Linked DNA regions of Tamandua tetradactyla. The protein of the gene in region 2 purifies or fractionates together with the protein of the main gene of each other region. This does not show direct contact. Links are inferred from orthologs where the notes say so. Each region holds a gene or a part of one and is shown on either strand. Other genes may lie near its edges.

What was found. Proteins that work in one complex are often made in the same cells at the same time.
Region 1: the proteins of L3MBTL3 (region 2) and SAMD13 purify together in Homo sapiens (affinity purification with mass spectrometry; 3 studies listed by BioGRID and IntAct, counting the BioPlex papers as one, with this or other methods). This does not show direct contact. The link is inferred for Tamandua tetradactyla from reciprocal best matches to the Homo sapiens genes L3MBTL3 and SAMD13.

Annotation. Positions count from the first base shown.
Region 1 is NC_135337.1:40,793,684-40,804,106, forward strand, and holds the start of SAMD13 (sterile alpha motif domain-containing protein 13), read right to left. Parts: upstream 4,060-10,423; 5' UTR 3,999-4,059; coding exon 3,989-3,998; intron 908-3,988; exon of another isoform or gene 701-907; intron 1-700.
Region 2 is NC_135331.1:191,512,730-191,523,796, forward strand, and holds the start of L3MBTL3 (lethal(3)malignant brain tumor-like protein 3), read left to right. Parts: upstream 1-6,550; 5' UTR 6,551-6,645; exon of another isoform or gene 6,646-6,692; intron 6,693-7,553; exon of another isoform or gene 7,554-7,652; intron 7,653-8,385; exon of another isoform or gene 8,386-8,562; intron 8,563-10,070; 5' UTR 10,071-10,134; intron 10,135-11,067. UniProt on the Homo sapiens protein: Is a negative regulator of Notch target genes expression, required for RBPJ-mediated transcriptional repression. It recruits KDM1A to Notch-responsive elements and promotes KDM1A-mediated H3K4me demethylation.

The DNA of each region.
Region 1 (10,423 bases), on a different chromosome or scaffold from region 2:
GATTTATGTAAAAAATCATCCAAACATTCAAGAGGATGTAGCAGAATCTATCACTGTCTTTTTGTTTAGTAGGCTGAGGACTGGGAAGAAATAAAAACCCTCCACAATTAATATACAATTAGCAAGAAGAAAAAGCTCTGAACAGAAATGTTTGAAGGGGAGGAAAAAAAAAAAAAACCCAACTAGTCCTGAAACATGCTTGCTCTCCTACAGCTGAAACCATAAATTAAATACATTTCTTCTCAAATCACTTGATACTTCGGCACTCCTTCTCTAGGGATTACTCTGACATGACAAGTGCATCATTTAGTATTTTCACAAGATTTTATCGCTGTTAGAGAAGTAGATGATTAACAACACTGTGTGGGATAATCTTCGCTCCTGAAACACACACACATACAAACTTCCAGTTGCTAAACCATTTCGAGCATTGCTAGAGAAAAGCAACATTGAATACAGATCTACACCTATTCACATACATCCACACACCGCTACAGAGTAGACAGGAAGACAGCGCTGCTGCTCCATGCCAAAACAATGATTCCACTTCAGTTGGAAACTGTTACACATTCACCATTTTCTGAGCATCTCAGGAAAACAAAACAAAACAAAACAAAACACTCACACTGCTACTCTGCAACACCACACCACAATGTCTTATTATTATTATTTTGGGTGGAAGAGTAAAAAGAAAACCTACCTAGAAGCAACTAAAACATAGCAATTTTTATAGGCTTATCAAGAACAGCCAAAGAAACCCCAATGTTTTCTTTCACAAAGTAGGCTGGCAAAGGAATTCAATAAGGAGGTACAATTTGACACAGTGAAATAAAACCAGGCTGGCTCTCAGCCAACATGACGTTAGGAATCACACACAAGCTGCACCAACTGCCTTCTGGTTCATGGCTGCCTTTTTAAAGCTACAGTGTGCCCGTTCACTTTCGCTAACTCTCCTCAGCACAATTAGTGGAACTGAATGAATCACGAGGCCACAAACTGCAGAATTCTCTCTGCACCTGTCTTGTACAAAGAACAACAGGCGATATCAATGGCCCTTTATTTTCTCCCTCCCCTTCATTGTTGCCACATGGTATGTTTTTGCTGTGTGTCTGGGCATGAATGTAAGGTTTCCAACTATTCTTTTTCCCCCCTCTGTGGGAAACGAACCTAAGAGAGACAACAACTCAGGTGCTTATGGGGCTATGATCAGTGAACACTCGGAAGCTGGAGTCCTGTGTTATGCTTTCTTCCTAATAAAGATGTGTGAGAAGAAGGAAAGCACTGCCCAGTCAAAAATCCTTTTACTTCATTATGCAGGAAGAAATAAATTTCAGAGTAGATGCAAAATAGATGATCAGATCTCGTGAGAACAACCACATTCTTTTATGTTGGCATTCATCCCACCAAACGAAGGCAGCAAAAAAATTTCAAACTGAAACAAACAAAACCTTTTCTAAAAAAAAAAAAAGGAAAGAAAGAAAGCAATTAGTTCTGGGAAGCTGAATTTTAACTCTTTATCCTAGTTGTACACAAAGCATAATTCAACAAATTCAACCAACCTTGATTGAGCACCAATGAACACCTGGTACTATATTAGTCTTACATATGAATAAGAAGACATTGTGCCAACTCCAACTTCACAGTATCTCCCACCACCACTCTAAATCCCCATTCAGGAAATTGGGAAGAAGGATTGGGGATAATGGGAACGGGAAAAATCTTTTGATTAAGTAACACTTGATAATTCCACCGGTCTCTTGTTTGGCCAGCCTCAATTCGGCTGCCTCTTGATTGAAATAAGCACCAATCAAAATTTGTCCACTTTTAGGTCAAGATGACAACAAAATCACTCAGGGCAGAAAATATAGGTCCCTAAGAAGAGTCCTGGAAAATCGGCTACAGATTTCAGGCATTATTCAAGAGAAAACTGCTTGCCTCACTTCTTCTCAGTAACTTTTAAGGGCACCAGAAGATCAGCAACTGTCATCTAAATTTGGAACCTAAATTTCAAATTTTGTCTTTTTTCTTTCCTTACTTATTTCAGGAATGTTATTAGACATTTCCAACTTCCTGAAAGATCATCACTGAGAAAGATTTCATATATTCTCTCTACCTATCTTTGCCACTGCCCCCTTGTAAAAGCAAATGATAATGTGAGTATGAATTCTAAGTGTCTGAACATTTTCAGTAAGGATCTGGCAGGTGGATCCTTCACCACTGCTGATAAAAATAATGGACTCTTATGATTAGGAGTTCTTTCACCAACAGATTCCATAATATCTTTGGGCTTGGTCTGAAATTTGTGAACTGTTTTCCAGCTAAATCCAAATAGGAGGCTGGACTGAGTCCTGCGAGTGAGAGAAGGGGAATAAGATAACCTGACAGCACTGTAATGCCACTGGTCATAACCAGCTCTTCATCTTCAGGGTACCGCTCTTGAAGGGAGGGAAGCCAAAAAAAAAAAAAAGATGTAGTTACACCCAGCTCTGCCTTAGACCCTCTCACAGGTGGGAGGACTCTGTGGAGTTTCTCCAAGCATTTCTTCCTAAAAATAGAAAAGATCAGCCCATCTTGTCTTTCCTACTGTGACAGAGTTGAGTTTGCCTATTAGACAAGTGTACAGATTTCAGAGCGTGCTCTAGGAAATCATTTCCATTTTATTAAAAAAAAAAAAAAAGAGCCAAAATCATTCTGGATCACGTCAACAAGTTGGTTTATCAGCTAGTTTCTAACTTTGGCAATAAACTGACATTTGTGGCTGTGAATACACACACACACTAATAAACACCTATCCCACAAACTCTCCAACAAACTGTTAGCCACTTTTCTCTGCTGTTTAAAAATGTGTGTGTGTCTGGAGTGTGGTGTTATGGCATGTACAGTGGAAGCATAAATGCAGCATTGTGTAATATGCATAGTGTACATGTTCTCTAGTATGCCTGTTGTCTATGAATAGTGTGCGGGGCATTTGTAGTGGTGTATGGATGCTGTGTTTGTGATGTATGCAGTGTGGGTGTTGTGTGGGGGTGGTGTTTGTAGTATGTGCAGTGTGGATGTTGCATTTGTTATGTGTGTGTAGTAAGCGGTCTGCGGCGTGCGCAGTGTGGGGGTTGTGTGAGACGGATGCAACCAAACCAGTCCTTCTGATCCAGCACATTATGGGATGTGCTTCAGTAACTTCGGAGCCCTCGGTGGGGATTCTGGAGCAGAACTTTCCGGCACACTTGGGTGTAGGCTCAGACGGGAGGGGAGGCGGGTCAGGAAGGGCGGGAAACTGTGCCTTCTTTTATTGATCAGCACTCTCAACTCCCACCCCCAGCCCCCTCCGGCAGAGCGGACTCGCCCGAGAGCCAAAGACAACCCCGCAGGCACCACCCACCGTGCCTCGCGTCCCGCCTGTCTCTGTGCGCAGACCTGGGTCCCGTGGCTGCAGAGGCAACCTCGAGAAAGTCGCCCGACGGGCAGCACCGAGTTCCACGCATGGGCGTCTGTGGGGAAATGGGGCGGCCTGGAGAGGGGGCGGAGGGGGCAGGAGAGAGGCCAGGAGAAGGGACGCCTGGAAGCCTCTTGGAGCAGCAGCTCCGGCCGGGAGCCAAACGACTCGCCTGTGCTCCAGGCAACACGGAGGAAAGTTTCTGGCAAAGACTTTCAAGAACCAGTTCGCCTCTGAGTATGGAGGTTCCCGGGGAAAGCCCGTCTTTGGGAAAGGGGGCGTGGGAGGTGTGGTGTTTGCCGCGCACGGCCACCCCCGGGTCCCATCCTGCAAGCTGGGCGCCGCAGCCCCCGGCGAGCCCCGGCTTCTGCCCCCAATTCCAATCTGGGGTGACACAGTCCACGCTCGTGAGTGCAACAAGCTGCAGGAGCACCGGTCACACGGCGAGGAGGGCAAGGCGGTTTTTATTATGGTTTTCTTCATTTCGTTTTATCCTGGAGAGGGGAGAGGGCGGGCGCGTCCCCAGCGCCCGCGCAGCACCAGTGGATCACTTACCTCCCCGCATGGCCCGCGCCGGGAGGCTGTGCCCGGGGCAGAGCTCGGCGGCCACCACGCGCCCAGCCCGAGTGCCGCCCGCGGGAGCGCGCACAGCTCGTCGGGAGTTGTAGTTCTCCGCGGGCGGGGCGGGGGTCCGAGGGGTGGGGGCCACAGGGAAGGAGAAGGGCCGGGAAGAGACGGAAAGGGACCAGGCGCGTTGCAAATGAGGTGGTAACAGGGACCTTGTGAATGTAACGCAGGACATCTGCAAAAACTCTAAACCTCCAAGTTGCTGGGGAAGGGAGGTGGGCAGTCCTAGAGAGAGTTTTTTTATTACGTGTTTTCAGGCTCATGCCATTCTCTTCCCATCTTACTCGCTAATGATAACCCTGATGAAGTTTCAAGCTGGAATTGAACGGTCATGGCCAAGTATAGAGATTTCCCTAGGCCAAACTATTATTTAGGGCCTTCCTTCTTCTCACTTCACCCCGAACACAAACGTGGCATTCTCTGCTTGGAACACCTATTCTGTGATTCACAGAATAACTCAGTTAAAGCCCTGGGCATGCGAAGGTGGGTGTGGGGATGGGGTGATTAATTGCACAGGTTTTAAAGCACTTTTTTACTTAATTGTCTCATCATATTAGAACCATACACCAAAACCATAAAGATGTAAGAAGTTTTTTTGTATGGAACCTGAAGAAGTTGGCGCTACTCTGCACTTGTTCCTTTTCCAGTGTAAAACTAGCTGCTAGGAATAAGAATAAGAAGGGGGATGGGTAACGGGTGTGGTGGGTGAGTGCCGGAAGTGGAGCCTGCTGTGAAGGACTTTCTTGAAATGTCTAAGTAAATCCTTATTAAATAAGGACATAAGACTAAAGATGGACCTGGGGGAAGAATGGAGTGGGAAGGGAAAGGCAGATGGGATAGGCATAGAGACCCAGTAGAAGATTGTCATCAGCCAAGAAGCTATGTGGAAAAGTAGTGTAGGGTTAAGGGATAGAGTGGGAAGGAAAAGCAGGTGGGATAGATGTAGAGACTGAATATAAAGTTATGATCAGACTAGAGACAATATGAAAAAGTTGTATCCAACAAATAGGGATTTTAGAAGTCAGATAGATGTGGCATTCTGGTGTCACATCCAAGCTAACTCTGAGACTGTAGGTTACTTAACCTCTTAAACTTCAATTTTCTCATTTAAATCATAATAGTTCCAACCTTATGATATCGTTGTATGGATTAAAAGAAATGGAAAGCACCTGATATTTCAAGTGCCTGGCATATCATAAAGACTCAAATAATGTTGGCTACAATTATTATTATCTGCAGAAACTCCCTTTGTGGAAGTATCAAAAGAAAAATTGAAGTAGAACTTCTAATTAGGTGGCTGTGGCACTATCCTAAGCTACAAGGTAATGACAGCTTGAACTACCTTGATAGAAAGGAAGCAGATATGAGACACATTCAGGGGAAAAGGGACTTGAGCAGTGCAATTAATTGGATGTGGGGCATGAGAAAAAGGGATCAGAGTTGGTTGTCATTTCTAGCCTGAGTAAGTAGATGATGTTACCATTCACATACATAGGTACAATGGATGCAATGACGGTTTTAGAGGAAGATGACTAGCTTGATTTTGGACATGTGTAGCTTCCGTCTATGAATGACCAAATAGCATTTGGAAATGTGGATGTGGATATCAAGTGAGGGATGGAACTTAGGAAAAGTAGTTGAAGAGCTTGTGGAGAGAAAAAGAGGAGAGCAGAGGCAGACAGGTGGGGACAAGGAGTCAGACAATGATCCCAGGCAAGAATTGATGAAGAGGAAGGGGGAAAGCAGTGACATAGAAGCCAAGGGAAGAAAGAGATTTGGGGAAGAGCTGGTCAACAGTATCCAGTGGCCAATAACAAAAGGAAGGAGGCTACAGGATTTGAAGACTAAGTAACCCCAAAGAGGGTGGGTCTCAACTAGGAATGAACTGTACTCAGGGTTTTCTTTTGGCAATTTGCCAGGGTGACTTTGCTTGTCACAATGGTTGGAAAGTGGCACTACTGGGATGTAGTTGGTGGAGTCAGAGACGCTAGACATCTTGCAATGCCCAGGACAGTCCTGCTCAGCAAAGACTTGTCCTGCATTCTGTGCAACTTTTTGCCTGTCCTACTGCTCATTCATATGGACGAAAAACCTGTTTATAAATATCTGAGCCTAGAACCTGTTTACATATAAACATAAAGGTTTTTGCATATAAACAAAAAGGTTTTACCTGTAAACAGAAAGTGGTTTTTGCACAGTTTTAAGACATATTGAATTTTCCTGGATTGTAGCTATTGAATAAACAAGGGGAGATTGTAATTTATCTTGTTCAGAATTTGGCCACTTCATCAGCTACAAACCATTCATAGAATCTGAGTTGCTAATACAGTCCATTTTGTGGCTGTCAGTTGCATTATGATCCTACAGATGGTTGCAAGCATCTGGCTACTTCCTTGTGCATTTTAGTTTACCTGAGTAGTTCCATATGAATCACAAGTTACTTTCTTTTAATTTAATTTTTCCTTTAAGGCATCACTTTGATTTTTTTAAAATTGCATGTGTAGGTAGCATATGCCTTTCACTTCAGGATAGTAAAGAGGATATTACCCTATATTTGTTCTAAAAGGGGTACATTAGGTTTGACAAGGCTGGGAACCATTTACTCTTGCAGTCAACATATCTCTTGAATACCTACTATGTGCTGGGCACTATTCTAGGTATCTGAGATACATCAGTAAATAAAACAAAATCTTCTCTGCCTTTATGGCACTTATATTCTAATGTCTGTGGGTGGTGTGGGAGGCAGGCAATAAATAATAAATATAAAGTAAGTAAAATCCACAGAACATTATAAAGTGGTAAGTGCTGTGAAAACTAAAGCAGGATAAAGGGAAGTGGGAGTATGAGTGAGAATGTGGGTTGAAATTTTAAATATAGTGATCAGGGTAAACTTCATTGAGAAGGTGATAGTCAAGGAAAGATCTGAAGTTGGTAAGAAAATGGCCTTGTAGCTTTATGAGAGAAAAGCATGACAGGAAGAGGGAACCGTCCAGCATAGTCTGGTCTGCAAGACAAGTTTGTTCATAGAATTTTCAAGAAACAGCAAGAGTGCCAATGTGGTTAGATTAGAGTGAGTTGGGGGTGAGCAGTAGGTGGATTGAGGGATGACGTCTGGGCTGGGGGAAGGTGATAGAAGACATGTAGTGCATTGCAAGGACTTTGGCTATCACTCAGTGAAATGGACAGCTGCTGGAGGGTTTTGAGCAGAGGTGTGACATGGTTTGACATATTTTTAAAGGATTATTCTGGCTTCTCTATTAAAGATGGGTCATAGTGTGCAATGGTGCAAGCAAGGAAACCAGGTAGGAAGCTATTGCAGCAATCTCATCTGCAGTAATCCAGATGAGAAAATAGTAGCTTGAATAGAGTGGAAGCAGTGGAAAAGTGGTCAGATTCAGAACTGATGGATTCGCTGTAGGAGAGGAATCAGGATTCCATAGGGCACAGGAGTTGGGGGCTGGCGGATGGAAAATAGGAAGAGATTAAGGGATGTGCAGAGTCTTGGGAGAATAAAATGTGGGAGTGATGTGAGAATCAGAACTACAAGCTGTCCTTGGAAGGAAGGGGAGATTGTTTTCTGATATAAAAGGAAAGAAAAAGACAATGGGCAAAAATTCAAAGAAATTCTAAGGAGAGATGGGGGTAGAACAAAAGATCTTGTTTTATATTTAATAAACAAAATTTTGTCTATTATGAAAACAAATAGGTATATGGTAAAAATTTAAAACGATCAAATTATTCATAGAAAGTGAAAATTCCCAATAAACCCATTCCTAGAATAAACGATTAAATGTTTTGTGTATATTGTCTATTTTTTCCTAAACATGTACTTTTTTTTTTTTTTTTTTGGTAAATGTTACATGGATACTTAAAGTATTAGCATTTTTTTCCTTTGCACCCTATAAGGTTCATATAACAAATATTTGTTGAACATCTATTACACAGCAGATATTATTACATCAATCTTTTGATCATATTACATACATCTATATCCGTTTTCTCATCTTTTCAAGAACAGAAATTTATTAGTCTCCTAACATTTCTCTTAATATTTCCTCTCATGTCTTGAAGTTGTGCTTTATGATTTTATGTCTTGAAGTTGTGCTTTAGGATTTTAATGCTCTATTATTTGATAACTGGGGATTCATAATAGAGATAACTTCATTGTGAGTTGCATTCTTTGCCATTATAAAGTGACTCCCTTTGTCCCATTTAATGCATTTTTAAGTTTATTTTATCCCACTTACAATTATTTTAACTAGATATGTTTAGTCTAATCTCTACTACCTATTTTATTTTGAATCTGTATTTTTTTTTCTATCTTTTGCTTTATGATCTGTGTTTTCCTTGTTTTTGTTTTGTTTTTATTTTTATCTTCCTCCGTGTACTAGTTTTCTCTCCATTGCAGTATAACGAATTGCTCCAAAACTTAGCGGTTTAAAACAACACACATTTATGTTGTTGTCCTGGCCTGGCTTAGCTGAGCCCTCTTCCTCAAAGTATCTCACAGGGCTTCATTCAGCATAGGTGGTCTCAGTGTAGGTGGTCTCAGCGGAAGACTCAGCGTGGAGAGAATCTGCTTTCAAACTCCAGCGCAAGGTTTAGTTCCTTGAGGGCCGTGGATCTGAGGGCCTCAGTTTCTTGCCACATGGCCCCTCCATTAGGCAGCTCACAATATGGCAACTGGCTTCCTCAGAGCAAGCCTATGAAAAGCCGCAGCGAGACCAAGCAAGACTGCAGTCACAGCGTTTTATAGCTAAGCTCAGAAGTGACACCCCATTGCTTTGGTCATATTCTCTTTGTTAGAAGCAAGTCATTAGCTCCAGTCCACCCACGAGAGCATAAATACCAGGAGACGGGGACCAGGGCGAGGCACTTGAGAGAATGACCTACCATAATCTAATATGGAAGGTGTAAATCGGTTTAAAATAGCATTATATTTTATTTCTCAGCTTTAGAAATGAAATGATGATGAAAGATGGTGAAATCAATGTACTTAGACTCTCTCCACCTCCCAAATAGTCTGGAGAGCAAATCTTGTTCTAGTCTATTCTCAAAATAGTATTCTTTATATTGTGTACATTTTAATTTAAGAATCATAATTATATCTAATTCTTATGACTTAAAACACCACTTATTTAAATATAATTCTACGTGTAAACAGATTCAAAGCTCAGGGTCAAATTTTTTTGTGTCACGAATGTCTCATTTATGAATTCATTATTATTATTACCCATCTATTCGTTATCTTAATTTTTTTTCAAGATATATTCTTCAGAAATGTAAGTTTTTAAAGTTCTTGCCTATTTGAGAATTTCTTTCTGTTGCCATTATACATGAAAAGCAGTTAGGCCAGATATAGAATTTCTTTTTTTTTCCTATTAAATATTTATCAACAATTGTTCCAATTTCTCCTAGCATCTAACATTGCTAGGAATATGTTTGACTTTGTTTTTGTCTTTGAAGATGATCTTTTCCCTCTGCCTAGAAGACTATAGCATTTTTTTCTTTTATCTTTGAAGTTCTAAATTTTCTTGGATTGTCATAAGCCTCTTCAAAATGTGATTTTAAGACTTTTTTTCCAGTAAATTCTTTGATTATGTAAATTTTTCAGTTCATTTGTTCATTCACATCTTCAAAAGCAGCAATTGTTCATATGTCTGTTCTCTGTTGTCTCTTGTCCACATCTTTTACCATCTCTCTGATCACCTTCATTCTTTGTCATTTTCCACTAAATTCTGTGTGATTTTTTTCCAATACCTTGCCCTCCATGTCCAGTTATCTGCAGTTTGAGTTCTACTCTTTGGTGCTTTTAATGAAATTTTTAGTGATCAATTTTACTCTTATTTATCTCCTCTGCTTTTCTGGATTTCACTTTGTTTCACTGTTATTGTATATTTTCTTTAATCATTTGAGTCCATTGTATTTTTAATTTCCTAGGAAGTTTTAGAGCATTTATGTCTTAATTTCCTGGAATAAATCTTTCCTTGTTTCCTTTATTTCTCATAAGTTTTTTTTTAATTTCTTCTTTTCTCATAATATTTTTGCATGTATTTCTATGCTTTTATTTTTTCTAACTGTTTTTTTAATCTTTGAAGGAAGTTAGTGATATTTACTTGATTTGCTTAAGAATCACATGAGTGATTTTCTTGCCTCCCTCTCTCTGTTTGTATGCATTTGACTCATCCCCTTAAAACAAACTAAAGTGCTGGGTGTTGATGGGCCATAATTTCTGGTCAGTCATTCAGTGATGGGAGAGCTGGAACAGGAAGAAAATCTGCTGTGAATGAAGGAGACAGAAAGAGATTTACTTATTAGTTTTTAATATTTATTCCTTACCTGTCCTCCCTCCACCAAAGAACT
Region 2 (11,067 bases):
CAGTATTTGATGGGATGTAGAATTGAGAGCAAGTTTTCTTTGGCCTGGAGAGATATGAGTACATGTTTCAGCTGTGAGGTAAAGCCAGAAGAGACTAATGGACTGAAATCATGGGGAGAATGAGGAAGAATCCTGGAGGAACGGAGAGGGGTATGTGCAAAAGTACATTTGGAAGGGCTGATCTGGGGAAGACGTAGGGATCGTGTCCCTTCCACCTGCAGCCCCCAGACGGGATGGAAGTTGAAAGGAATCGCTGAGGGAGCTTGCTTTGGGACAGAGGGGACACTGTGGAGGCTGGAGTGAGGGCCCAAGAGCCATGACCCAGCTGGCAGGGCTGAGGAGCAGGAGCCAACAGGCGCAAAGGGTCGGCTCACCCAGCTCGACGGACCGGCCCTCAGCGTTAAGACGGGTTTAATCTGCATTGGAGCCCATCAGCTGCAATGAGGGCCAACACTCTGTATCTCTTTTCTGTCCAATACACTTTTGAGTTTTTCCTGAAACCCCACAGACACTGGATTGGGTCAGCCCATTTGCAGATGCTTAAGTGAGATCACTCTCAACTGACGGTCAGTCTCACGCTCATTTTCACTCCTTCTGTTCCTCACTGTCAACATCTAGGGGCATCTGCACAGAAGCCCCAACAGACTGACACTAGAAAAGTACTACTTCCACTAAGAGATTTTCACAGAAAAAAGTTGGGAAATTTACCAAGGAATGGAGAATGCTTCAATCCCGAAATTAAAAAATTTCATTCTTTAAAGACTTTGAACCCATTGAGAAACCTCAGTTTAAAAACCTTTCAATTGATTCTAGTTTTCAAAAGAGAACCATGGTGAAGGCACAGCTAGTAAGTCTAATTTAACGTAACAGATTGTCTCCTCATACGTCCCATTTTGCATTCTACGTGAACAAACTAACGATCCAGGTTTTTTCTACACTCGCACTTACTGTATTTATGGGACAAATTCAATCCCAGACACAGGTATTAGGGCTTGGAACCAGGCCGCTGTTACTGCCCCTGTGAAAGATAACGTAGGAATGCTATAACAAATATTTAGTTTAAAAAACCGAGAAGGGCTTTGAAAATGTAAAAGTGTAATATAAATGCTAAATAAAGATAATATATTCTGAACAGCAGGCTCCTTTGAAATAGGGCCTTTGAATTCCATTAGCACTCTCTGTTTACTTGCTTTTAGGAACTTTTAGGAGGAAGTTGCACGAGCGCATGCTTGCCACGCGACACCTAAGGCCTAGCAATCAGCCACTGAAAGGGGCAAGTGGGATGTGCAGATGCACCAATTCACATGATGATAATGACTCTCTTATTCAGGGAACACTGACTGCACCCCTGCTGCATGCAGGAACAGGTGTGTGCCGGGAGCACTGCAGGGGACACAGGAGAAACCCAGTGGGCTGTGTCCTGTTAGTACCCCCAGTTTGCAGGTGGAGAAACTGAGGCGACCTGCCCAAGACCACACCTTGGCACATGGTGAAGCTGGGACCTAAATCTAGAAGTCCACCTTCCACTACTGAGAAAAAATGGCTGGAAACCGGATTGCCAATTCAACTAACTTGGCCCGCTTTAACTTTGTAAGGTCAAAAAAATGAGTTACATGCATTTGCTTCCTCTGGGTCTTTTATTTATCTTTGGAGATTCTACTCAGTTGTCTGCAAGGGGTGGGGAGTCTCTGTGGAAATACTAGCAAAAATAGGAACTGCAGCTATGCAGAGCGTCACCTCGTGACCACAGAGCGGCCAGGCCTCTCTGAGACCAGAATGGCATTTGGGATGAGAAGGTCACACAGAGTCCAGGGCAGGGACCTGTGGAATGCTGCTCATCTGCTGCTCCTCCCGTGAGCTGACTTTGGCTGTTCTTGACCTCATGGTTTCTACTTGGGCATCACGTCTAACGCCCCACGGCCGCGGTGGGGCGCCCAGTCTCTCCCCTTTTCTCTCCGTGAATCTTTCAGTTTTTGCAAAGCTTGCCAGCTAACTTTTTCTATCACAGGCCCAGTTCATATGGCCAAGTATGAGAAGACTGGCCTGTTTCATTACATTCTCACCCACAGAGAAGCTGCCCACAGGCCAGGCCTGCCACTCGGCTCAGTCCATAGACCAAATATCCACTCCTGGGCCAGTCAGCTGCGGCCAGGAGAGCGGGTCAACTGGAAGGCACCTCCCAGAGCAGGGGGCTCTGACGGAGGGGAGCTACTGGCACAGACAAGTTCTGAAGTTTGGCTTTTGCCCTCTCTCACTGTTTTTTTTTTTTTTTTTTTTTTCCAGCATGGGCAGGTTCCGGGAATCGAACCCGGGTCTCCGGCACGGCAGGCGAAATTCTACCACTGAACCACCGTTGCCCACCCTTCTCTTACTTTTTAATTAAAATGCTTCTGAATTTAGGTTTAAATGAGTAGGTGTGTTATGAGAAATTAACATAAATTACCTTTTGCTTTTTAATTTAGAAGTCAGTTTACAATCCCAGATTCTCCTCTCTTCCAGATATGTCTATATTTGATACCTTCTTTATACCTAAATTAAATGATAATAATCACATCTATCCCAGAGTTCTTCATATATTTAATTTCCTTAAGATATTTTCAGTATGATACACACTAGGAGTCTTTCCTTTACCTGATAAGTAATATATCCTTTTCTTTCACTCTCAGCATTTCAATGACATTTTGCTACCACAAGCTCTGTGCTAAGAATGTTTGCAGATGTGTCCCAGGAAAGACAATCAGGATTCAAATTAGAGTACCTACAAGCACATTTCACTGTTATCTAGAACTAACAGGAAAATCAAACTCGGCTCTGACAAATATCAATAATAAAAATCTTGGCCAAATCAATGGTAATGTCATTTTGATACTTGGAAAAACATGGAACACACAATTATGTAGGTTTAAAAAATCAATAACTTGACTCCTACTTAAAAAGTAAGATAATACATTAAAATGATGATTTAAAGGATCGTTCATTTAGAAAAATCTCTATGGATAGATTCAATTTTACCTTAAGACTTGTGCCCACTAGCACACATTGCAATCCAGGGGCCTGAGGTTAGAGAAGGAGTTTGTGGCTATAAAACAGATCAAAACTAAGTAGCCATTAGGGAATGGAGTTTCGTCCTTCCATCTCATTAGCACCCAGCTTTACGGAGTGAATGAGCTCTTCAGTGATAGCATTCTGACACCCAGCAGATGGGTGGTTCTCACTCCTTCCTTAAAATTCCTTTCCTCCATATCATTTATACTAAAATGTGAAGGTGCTCCCTGCAGGCCTTCCTAGAGGAGTACGTGCCAGAGGGCAAGTGTGAGCAGTGTGCCTATCAGGGCAGGGCGAATTTAGTGTTAGAAAAAGGAAGCGTAGGTATCCAAACTGAAGTTCACAGACGGTGGAGGTGACAAGATGGAGAGAGGTTAGTGTGGCCTGTGCCTGGCAGTGCTGATGGAGAGCCCCATAATGTCTCTATAGAGTGCAGTGACACGTTCAAACATCTCCCGTGTATAGTGACTTCAGGTTCAGAATATTTAGGAGTGGAATAACTCGAAATTATTTTGGGGGGAAGTCTGGGCATAACAAATAAATATAAAGAAAAACAGAGCAGTGAGCTAAAACTTAATTTGGGCTGCCAGGGAGGTTATAGACCACCTGCCCTCGGCCTGGAGGATGGGTTAGCTGGGCGACGGGCGAAGGGGGGAGGGTGGTGGAGGATGGTGACAGTAAGTGGTGCTGGTGAGAAGGGATTCATCATGAATTACTAGGCCTTGACTGAATGGTGGAAGCGTGTAGGGAAGGCAAAGAAGCTTCTACCAGTATGTTACCATTTAGGGAAGAGGTAGAGAAATATCCTGTAAACAGGATCTGTTAATATGAAGAATAAAACAATGTCATCTAGATTCCAAGACAGTATTCTGCCTGTCTCAGATGGCAGCATTGAAGGATTGTCTGTGGACAAAAAAAAAAAAAAAAAAAAATGGTAGCAGTCTTTAAAGCTATCCTTTCAGGGAGAACCTCCAAAATCTTTATCACCCTGAACCACAACACCCTGGGAACAACTGAGATGAAATTTTTTGAGGTGTTTCTCATGATTTCTGGAGGGAGAAAGAAAATGCGTTGTGGAGACCCTCCACTCAGGCTTATTTTTGTTAGTGAGCCTCAGCAGATGAGCAGTTCCCAGGCAGGCTCTGCTCTGCACGGGCCCATGTGCTCAGGCTCCCTCTGATTCGATCACCCTCCCACCTACCTTCTTGGGGGAAGGCTGAGCCCATAAGCCACTGACCTCTGTCCTTCCAGGATTAGCTTAGCCATCACTTCTGCAAAGCCTCCCCGCAAGACCATAAATGCTCCTGGCTTGTGCTGGCTTTACACCCCATACTTCTAGCATTTACCATGCCATCATGCAATGTCATATTAACTAGATGTCTCTCTCTCATCAGGCCAAGTTCCTCGTGGCCAGGGCAGTGTTTCGATCGTGTTTATTCCCAGCAGCTTGCAGACTCCTCAGAGCACATGGTAGAAGGCCAGTTTGTGTTTGCAGAATGTTGACCTGATACCTCTGAAAATACACCTACAATAGACATATCATCTAGAAATTATACTGAGGGAACGAATCTAAAACGATTTTTTTGGAAAGAGGACTTTCAAATTACTTTTAGTCTATTTGGGGTAGGGTCTTGGGTTTGCACATAGCTCCTGGCCTTGCTTTCCTTCTCCTTGTGTGGCCTGTTTTCGGTCATGACACTGCTCATGATGCCAGAGCCAGGGAGAAAAGCGGACAAGCCGAAACTCCCATCAGTTCCGTAGGCTGCGCCTGAAAGGTACGATGTGGTGGGTGAAATCGATAGCTAGCCCTGGATTGGGCTTATCCACAGTTCTGGCTGACCAAGCCTTCTGCACTTCACACCCCTCTTTCAGCTTCCCAGGGCTTGTCCTTTGTCCCCAAGGAGAGGCCGAGCCATATATCCAGATTTTTGGCTCTAAGAATTCAGCCACCATACCAAAAAAGAAAGAGTTGGGTGGTCTGCTTCTCTAGGGTAATTTCATGGTGCTAAGGAAAGACTTGAACAATTTATTTTCTGAAACTGGTTCAAGAAACATTCCTTAAGTGAAAAATTCAATCAAGAATAATATTTCTTACACTTTGGAGAAGGATTTTTAATACAGAATTCCATCTGTGATATATTTAAATTCTAGGCCTCAGGCAGCAATTTCAGAAAAGGGCCTCCTTCACCCTGGGTTAGATGCAAAATAAATATCCGGGGGGGGGGGCTCCCCCATTTCTGAAATCGCACAGGCTATTCTTTTTTCTCGCACAGCAAAGTGTGTTATTGACACGAAAATGTTCACCACAACTTCGATTACGTGAGTCTTTGTGTAAGGACTTGTGTCTCGGAAGACGGCCTTGCTAGAGCCGGCCTGTGTGAGGAGAGGAAAGCTGTCCGTGCGACCCGTACTCTCTGCCTGGGTTTTGATGTGTTAACAAAGACAGGCTTCGGTATTTGGGGTGTCTGAACACACCAGGACGAAAGTCCTCCACTTGCTTATTGCTGAGGGCCCTTCGCGTTGATTTCGGAGCCGATCCGCGAGTCTCCCCATCTCCCACGGTGGAGGCCTGGCTAGTTTACAATGTCCGTGAAGACAGTCAATGCTGAAGGAGGACGAGGAGCACGCAAGGTGAAACCCCGCACTTGGCCGCGCAGCCTTCGAGGCCCCAGTGAGGGGGGTGGCGGAGGGGCTCATACTCTGCCAGGGCTGAAAACTTTCTTTCCTATTTTCCTTGGCCTGTGCGCGCACGTGGCCTCGGGCGAGTGTCTGTGGGGACGAGGGCCCACTCTTTAACGGCTGAATGCACACATCCAGCAGCACATGGTGGATGAGCTGCTCTGCGAACTGCCTTAAAAAATGTAAAGTGAAAAACAGACAAAGAGAGCTGTCACCTTCGCCGCCCTTCGCGTTTGTTTTGCCCGCCCTGGCCACGGCTCGGAGCCGGGCCCAGGCCGGGAGAAGGTGCACCTGAGGCGGCGCGTGCGTGCGGGCCGGGCCGGGGTGGCGGCTGCTCTCCAGCGCAGGGCGCAGGCAGGCAGGGCGCAGGAAGGGCGCCAGTAGGCAGGGCGCAGGAAGGGCGCGAGTAGGCAGGGCGCAGGCAGGACGCGGGCAGGCAGGCAGGGTGCAGGCAGGCAGGGCGCAGGCAGGGTGCAGGCAGGCAGGGCGCAGGCAGGGCGCAGGCAGGGCGCAGTCAGGCGCAGGCAGGCGCAGGCAGGGCGCAGGCAGGCGGGGAGCAGGCAGGTCGCAGGCAGGGCGCAGGCAGGCAGGGCGCAGGCAAGGCGCAGGTAGGCAGGGCGCAGGCAGGCGGGGTGCAGGCAGGGCGCAGGCAGGCAGGGTGCAGACAGGCAGGGCGCAGGCAGGCAGGGCGCCGGCAGGGCGCAGGCAGGCAGGGCGCAGGCAGGCAGGGCGCAGGCAGCAGCCGGGAAGCGGCCCGGCCCGCCGCGGCGGCGGCGGCGGCGGCGGCGGCGGCGGCGGCGGCAGCGCAGTTTCCCTCTCCCCAGCCAGGCTCCACGCGCACATGCGCACTGCGCCCGCAGCCCTGGACCATTTGTCAGGACTACTCGTGAGACCGAGAAAAAAAAAAGAGAAAATTTGGGGGTAAGAAGCGGCTGATCTGATCGAATCGCTCGTTAATCTGCAGATCTGTACGTGCCAAAGGCATTCATTTATTTTTCTGGGTGAGGATGAAAGTTCCGAGCGCTGCCGAGGGAAGGAAGCGCACCCTGCCCTTGTGAAACAGACCCGGGAGGGGAAAGGACAGAAGGGGTTTCTCCCCCACTTCTCTCCGCCTCTGGGAAAGAGGAGAAAACTTAATCCCGGGGAAAAAAGTGGGCAAGTGACTCGGAAGGGGCTGGAGGGGGAGTCCCCGGGCATCTCCCCGTGAAGTAGTGAGCGCGAGTGTGAAAGAGGAACAAAAGAGCGAGAAAAGAGAAAGGAAAAATGGGGGGGAGGAGAGACTTGTCTTTTTTTCGGTGCGCGCACCCGGGGAAGGGTGTGGGGGGCCGTGCGGAAGGGAGCCGGGCGAGGCGGCCGCGGCGCGCTCTGCGGGAGGGCCCCCTCCCCGCGCGCCCCCTCCCCCGAGCCTGTCACTGGGGTCCCTCTCCTGACGCCGGGCGCGGGCGGGGGCGCGTGCCGGGTGGGTGCCGCGGGGCCGCCGCCGGGGCGGCCGAGGCGGGCGGGGGCGGCCGGGCCGCGGCTCGGGGCGGCGGGAGGCGGCCGGCCCCGCGCCCGCCCCTGCGGCCCCCTCCGCCCGTGTGTGGCCTTTGTGCCGGGCGCGCACCGGGGAGCGGCGGGGCGAGCGCGAGAAGTCCAAGTACGGGAGACCGAGGCAGTGGGAAAAGAGGCCGGGCCACTTTCTCCGCACTCGGGCTGCGGAGAACGGACTGGTTGAATGTGCAGGCGCGCCTGCCGGCGTGTGCTGGGTGTGCGCGGCGCCGAGGCCTGCCCGGCTCCCACCGCGCACACGCACACTCACACGCACGCACACTCACACTCGCGCGCGCACACACACACACACATACACCCGGACCCCGCGGCGCGGCGCGGCCCGGCGGACCCGAGTTTGCGTTGCCTTCCTCGCCGCCTCCCCCTGCCCGACCGACTGTGTGAGAATTTAATAGAGAGCAGCTCCAATTTCCGCCATTTTGGGAAAGTTGCACAAAAATAAACCCTCCGGTTTATTTCTGCCGGGGCCGGGAAAGTGCCCGGGGAGGCGAGGCGGCGCGGGCCCGCGGCGGCCGTGCGCGCGGGGAGGCGCCGGAGGGCGCGGGCCGGGCCGGAGCCGGTGCCGTCGCGGCGTTCGCCCCGCGCCGTGTCGCGCCGCGCCGCCGGGGGCTGCGGGCGTGTGCCGGGAGGCGGCGGCGGCGGCGGCGGCCGGGAAGGGGGGCCGCGGGGGGCGGGAACGCGGGGCCGCGGGTCCTGCAACTTGTTTACGCCCGCCCGAGCGCCGGGAGGCGGCCGGGGGTCCGCGCGGGGGCCGTGCCGCGGCCATGGGCTTTGCACACTCGCGTCCTGGGCCCGGCGGCCGGGCGGGCGGGGGAAGTAGAGGCCGGCGGGGTGTGTGGGGGGGGACCGGGAAGCGCAGGAGCCCAGGCATCCGCCGCGCGCCCCGCGAGCTGGGGGAGGGGACCGGGGAGGGGGGAGAGGGAGGAAAACTTGAGAGCCCCCGAGACGTGGGGGGGCGGGGGTGGCGGCGCGGTGACACGGGCGGGGGGCAGGGTGCAACTTTTGTGCTGGTGGTAAAACTTTAATTACCTTTAAAGAAAAAAGGCCCAATGATCTGGGTTTTCGGGTCCCCCCCCCCCCACCTTCCCTCCTTCTGGTCAAAGCTCGGCCCACAGCGCGACCGTGAGAGAAAGTTGAAAAGCGGGCGCTTTCCTTCCCGCCCGCCCGCGGAGGGGTAGGGGTGTCTGGCTGTCTGTCCGTCCGCTCTCGGGGGGAAGTGGGGGTTGCGAGCCGCCCCACGGGGTCGCGAGGACGGTGGCACTTACCCCACCCTTCCACGGGGAGACGAAGGTAAACGTCGCTTTGGTTTCCCTTCACAGTCCCCCCCCCCCCCCGCTTCCTTTTCCTCCCCTCCCCTCCGAGTTTTCGAGGGGACCCGAAAAACGGAGTCTCTCTCCTTATGCAACTTCCTCGGGCGCCGCGACCGCGGCCTCGCCTGGCGCTGCATCCCCGGGCCGCGCCTTCCCACCCAGGCCGGCGCCCGGGAACGCCGCCGAAGGTCGCTGCGAGCGCGCAGAAACAAAAATAGACGAATTGTTCGAAGTTGAGGGAAACTGAGATAAGTGGAAATGGGGGGTGGGGGGCGGGGGGGGGAGGGGGAGCGCGGCTGCGGCGGGCGCGTCGGTCTGTAATTTTGCGTTCCTCTGAGCGCTGGGATGCCTTTGTGGGTCCGGGAAGCCCGGGACCGAGGCTCGGCACTGGGCAGCCGCGTCGCGTGGGTTTTTGCGCAAGTTTTTAGAAAAACACTGACTCGAGTAGAGCATTTCCCCGGAAAGTTTCAAGTGCAGCAAAATCGCGAACGTGCAAAGCTGGCCAAGGGGGGACCTCTAGTGGCTGACCGCGGGCGGAGACTCGCAGGCCCAGGGCAGAGTTTGGCCTTTTCTCGCTCGTCGGTTCCGACGTGGAAGTGGCCAGCCGGCCTCGGGGCGAGCGGCCGTGCGCGGTGTGGGAGGATGCTGGTGGGAGAGGAAGGCTGGCGAAATCCGAGAGCAGGGGGCCCTGAGGGTTCAACCCCTCTGACTCCCCCATCCCCCTCCCAGGGAGAAAGACATTTTGCTTCCATTCTGGGCTTTGGAATTGGTATTGTGTGCTTTTCTGTTTCAAGTCCTCTGTGTCTCTGATTCGTTTTTCATCACGAGTCATAGCAGATATTGCATTTGGAGTGTTAATAAAAGTACGGGGTACAGTGTGGGTTTAAGGACAAAGTCCTTTGGCTGAAGTTTTCCTTTCCTTTGAGCTGATCAGTGTATTTTCTAATAAATATAATTTTAGTGTGGAGTTTCTTGACTGTTTAGTTAGTTATAATACATGTGAATGCTTAGAGAGTTATAGCGTATACGGTCCCTTTTAGTTGTGAGAGTATTACTTTGTTTCATTAAGAAGGTATTTTTGGAATACTTTGTATAATTTGTGAAACTTAAATATATAGCAAAAATTGCTTACATAATATCTGTTGTTTTGCTCGTGTGTCTTGTAAAGTATCTTTAAAACTAAAGCAATATGGGACATTAAAGCTGAATCCAGTGATTCCTGAACTTTTCACCTGTTTGTCAGGTCATGGGAGAGGCCTTAGTGCAAGTATTCAGCACGTGGGACTATTTTGAATGATTAAAACCCATTTCACCTCATCTCAGACTAGTTGATTTTATTTTGATGTGCACAGTGGCTTGGGGTGAGATGATGCAGATGTCAGTGATTCGGAGTTTAAGCTGATTATTAATTGGGGGTTGGGGATTTCAAGGATTATTTTTGACACCCATGCTTGGAGTTTATCTTTCCTCTCTTTAAATCCATTCTAGGCCTTGGGGTGGACAGCGGTTGTGAAGACCTCCAGACAGTTGTACCTTTCTGCACCGCCACAAGGTAAGATTTGCTGGTGGAAACAAATTGCTTGACATATGTACACGTGTTAAAGGCTGCTTTGGGGAATCAGGAAATGAATTGTGGGACATGGTTGGCAGAAAAGCATCATTATATAGGATTTCTTTGACTGTATTGAAGTGTTGACACTAAGGGTAGTTGAGGCTGGAATAACACACTTGGAAAATTACAAGACTACCTTGCATAGTCTTTGGCCTGACTTACTTGCCAGATTCTTTTTTTTTTCCACTTTGTTTTATTTTATTATTATTTTTTATTTCAATGTTTTTTATTATAAAACAGCAAACAAACATACAAACATTCTTGACATACAGATATTCATGACATAATTACAATCGGTGGCTCACAATAGCATCACATAGTTGTGCATTCATTACTATGATCATTTTTTTGAACATTTACTTGCCGGATTCTTAATTGGCATGTCACTTGTACCTGTTTTCTACTGGAAGTAGATTGCTTTATTCTTTGGAATTGATGAAGTCAGGAAAATAGAACAAAGGTGACCATAAATCTATATAACTACTAAATATGTATGCTGTGAGATCATGGAAGGTTCTGGAACTTTCACTGTCTTTGGGGCCCAGTAGTGAAATTTTGTAGGTGAAACCTCCAGAGCGAGCTTTTGGGCTTTTAAGAACTGAACTTGGACAGTGGTCTGACTTGTGCCAGACATCATCGTGTAGTGTCATTGTGAGGTTCTGGAGTGTTGGTAGACTTGTCGACTTTTGAACACGTCTCCACAGGGAGCGTAGCTGTTGGCTTCTGAGATCCCTCGGGTAAACTTGGAGGGTGCTGGCTTATGTCCAGTTATCCAGGACCTACCCAGAGGACAAGGGTCATCACATACACAGCAGCCAATGGTCTGGTAGAGCGTCTCAGTACACAGGGACCGCTCCAGGTTTCTGCTGTTCA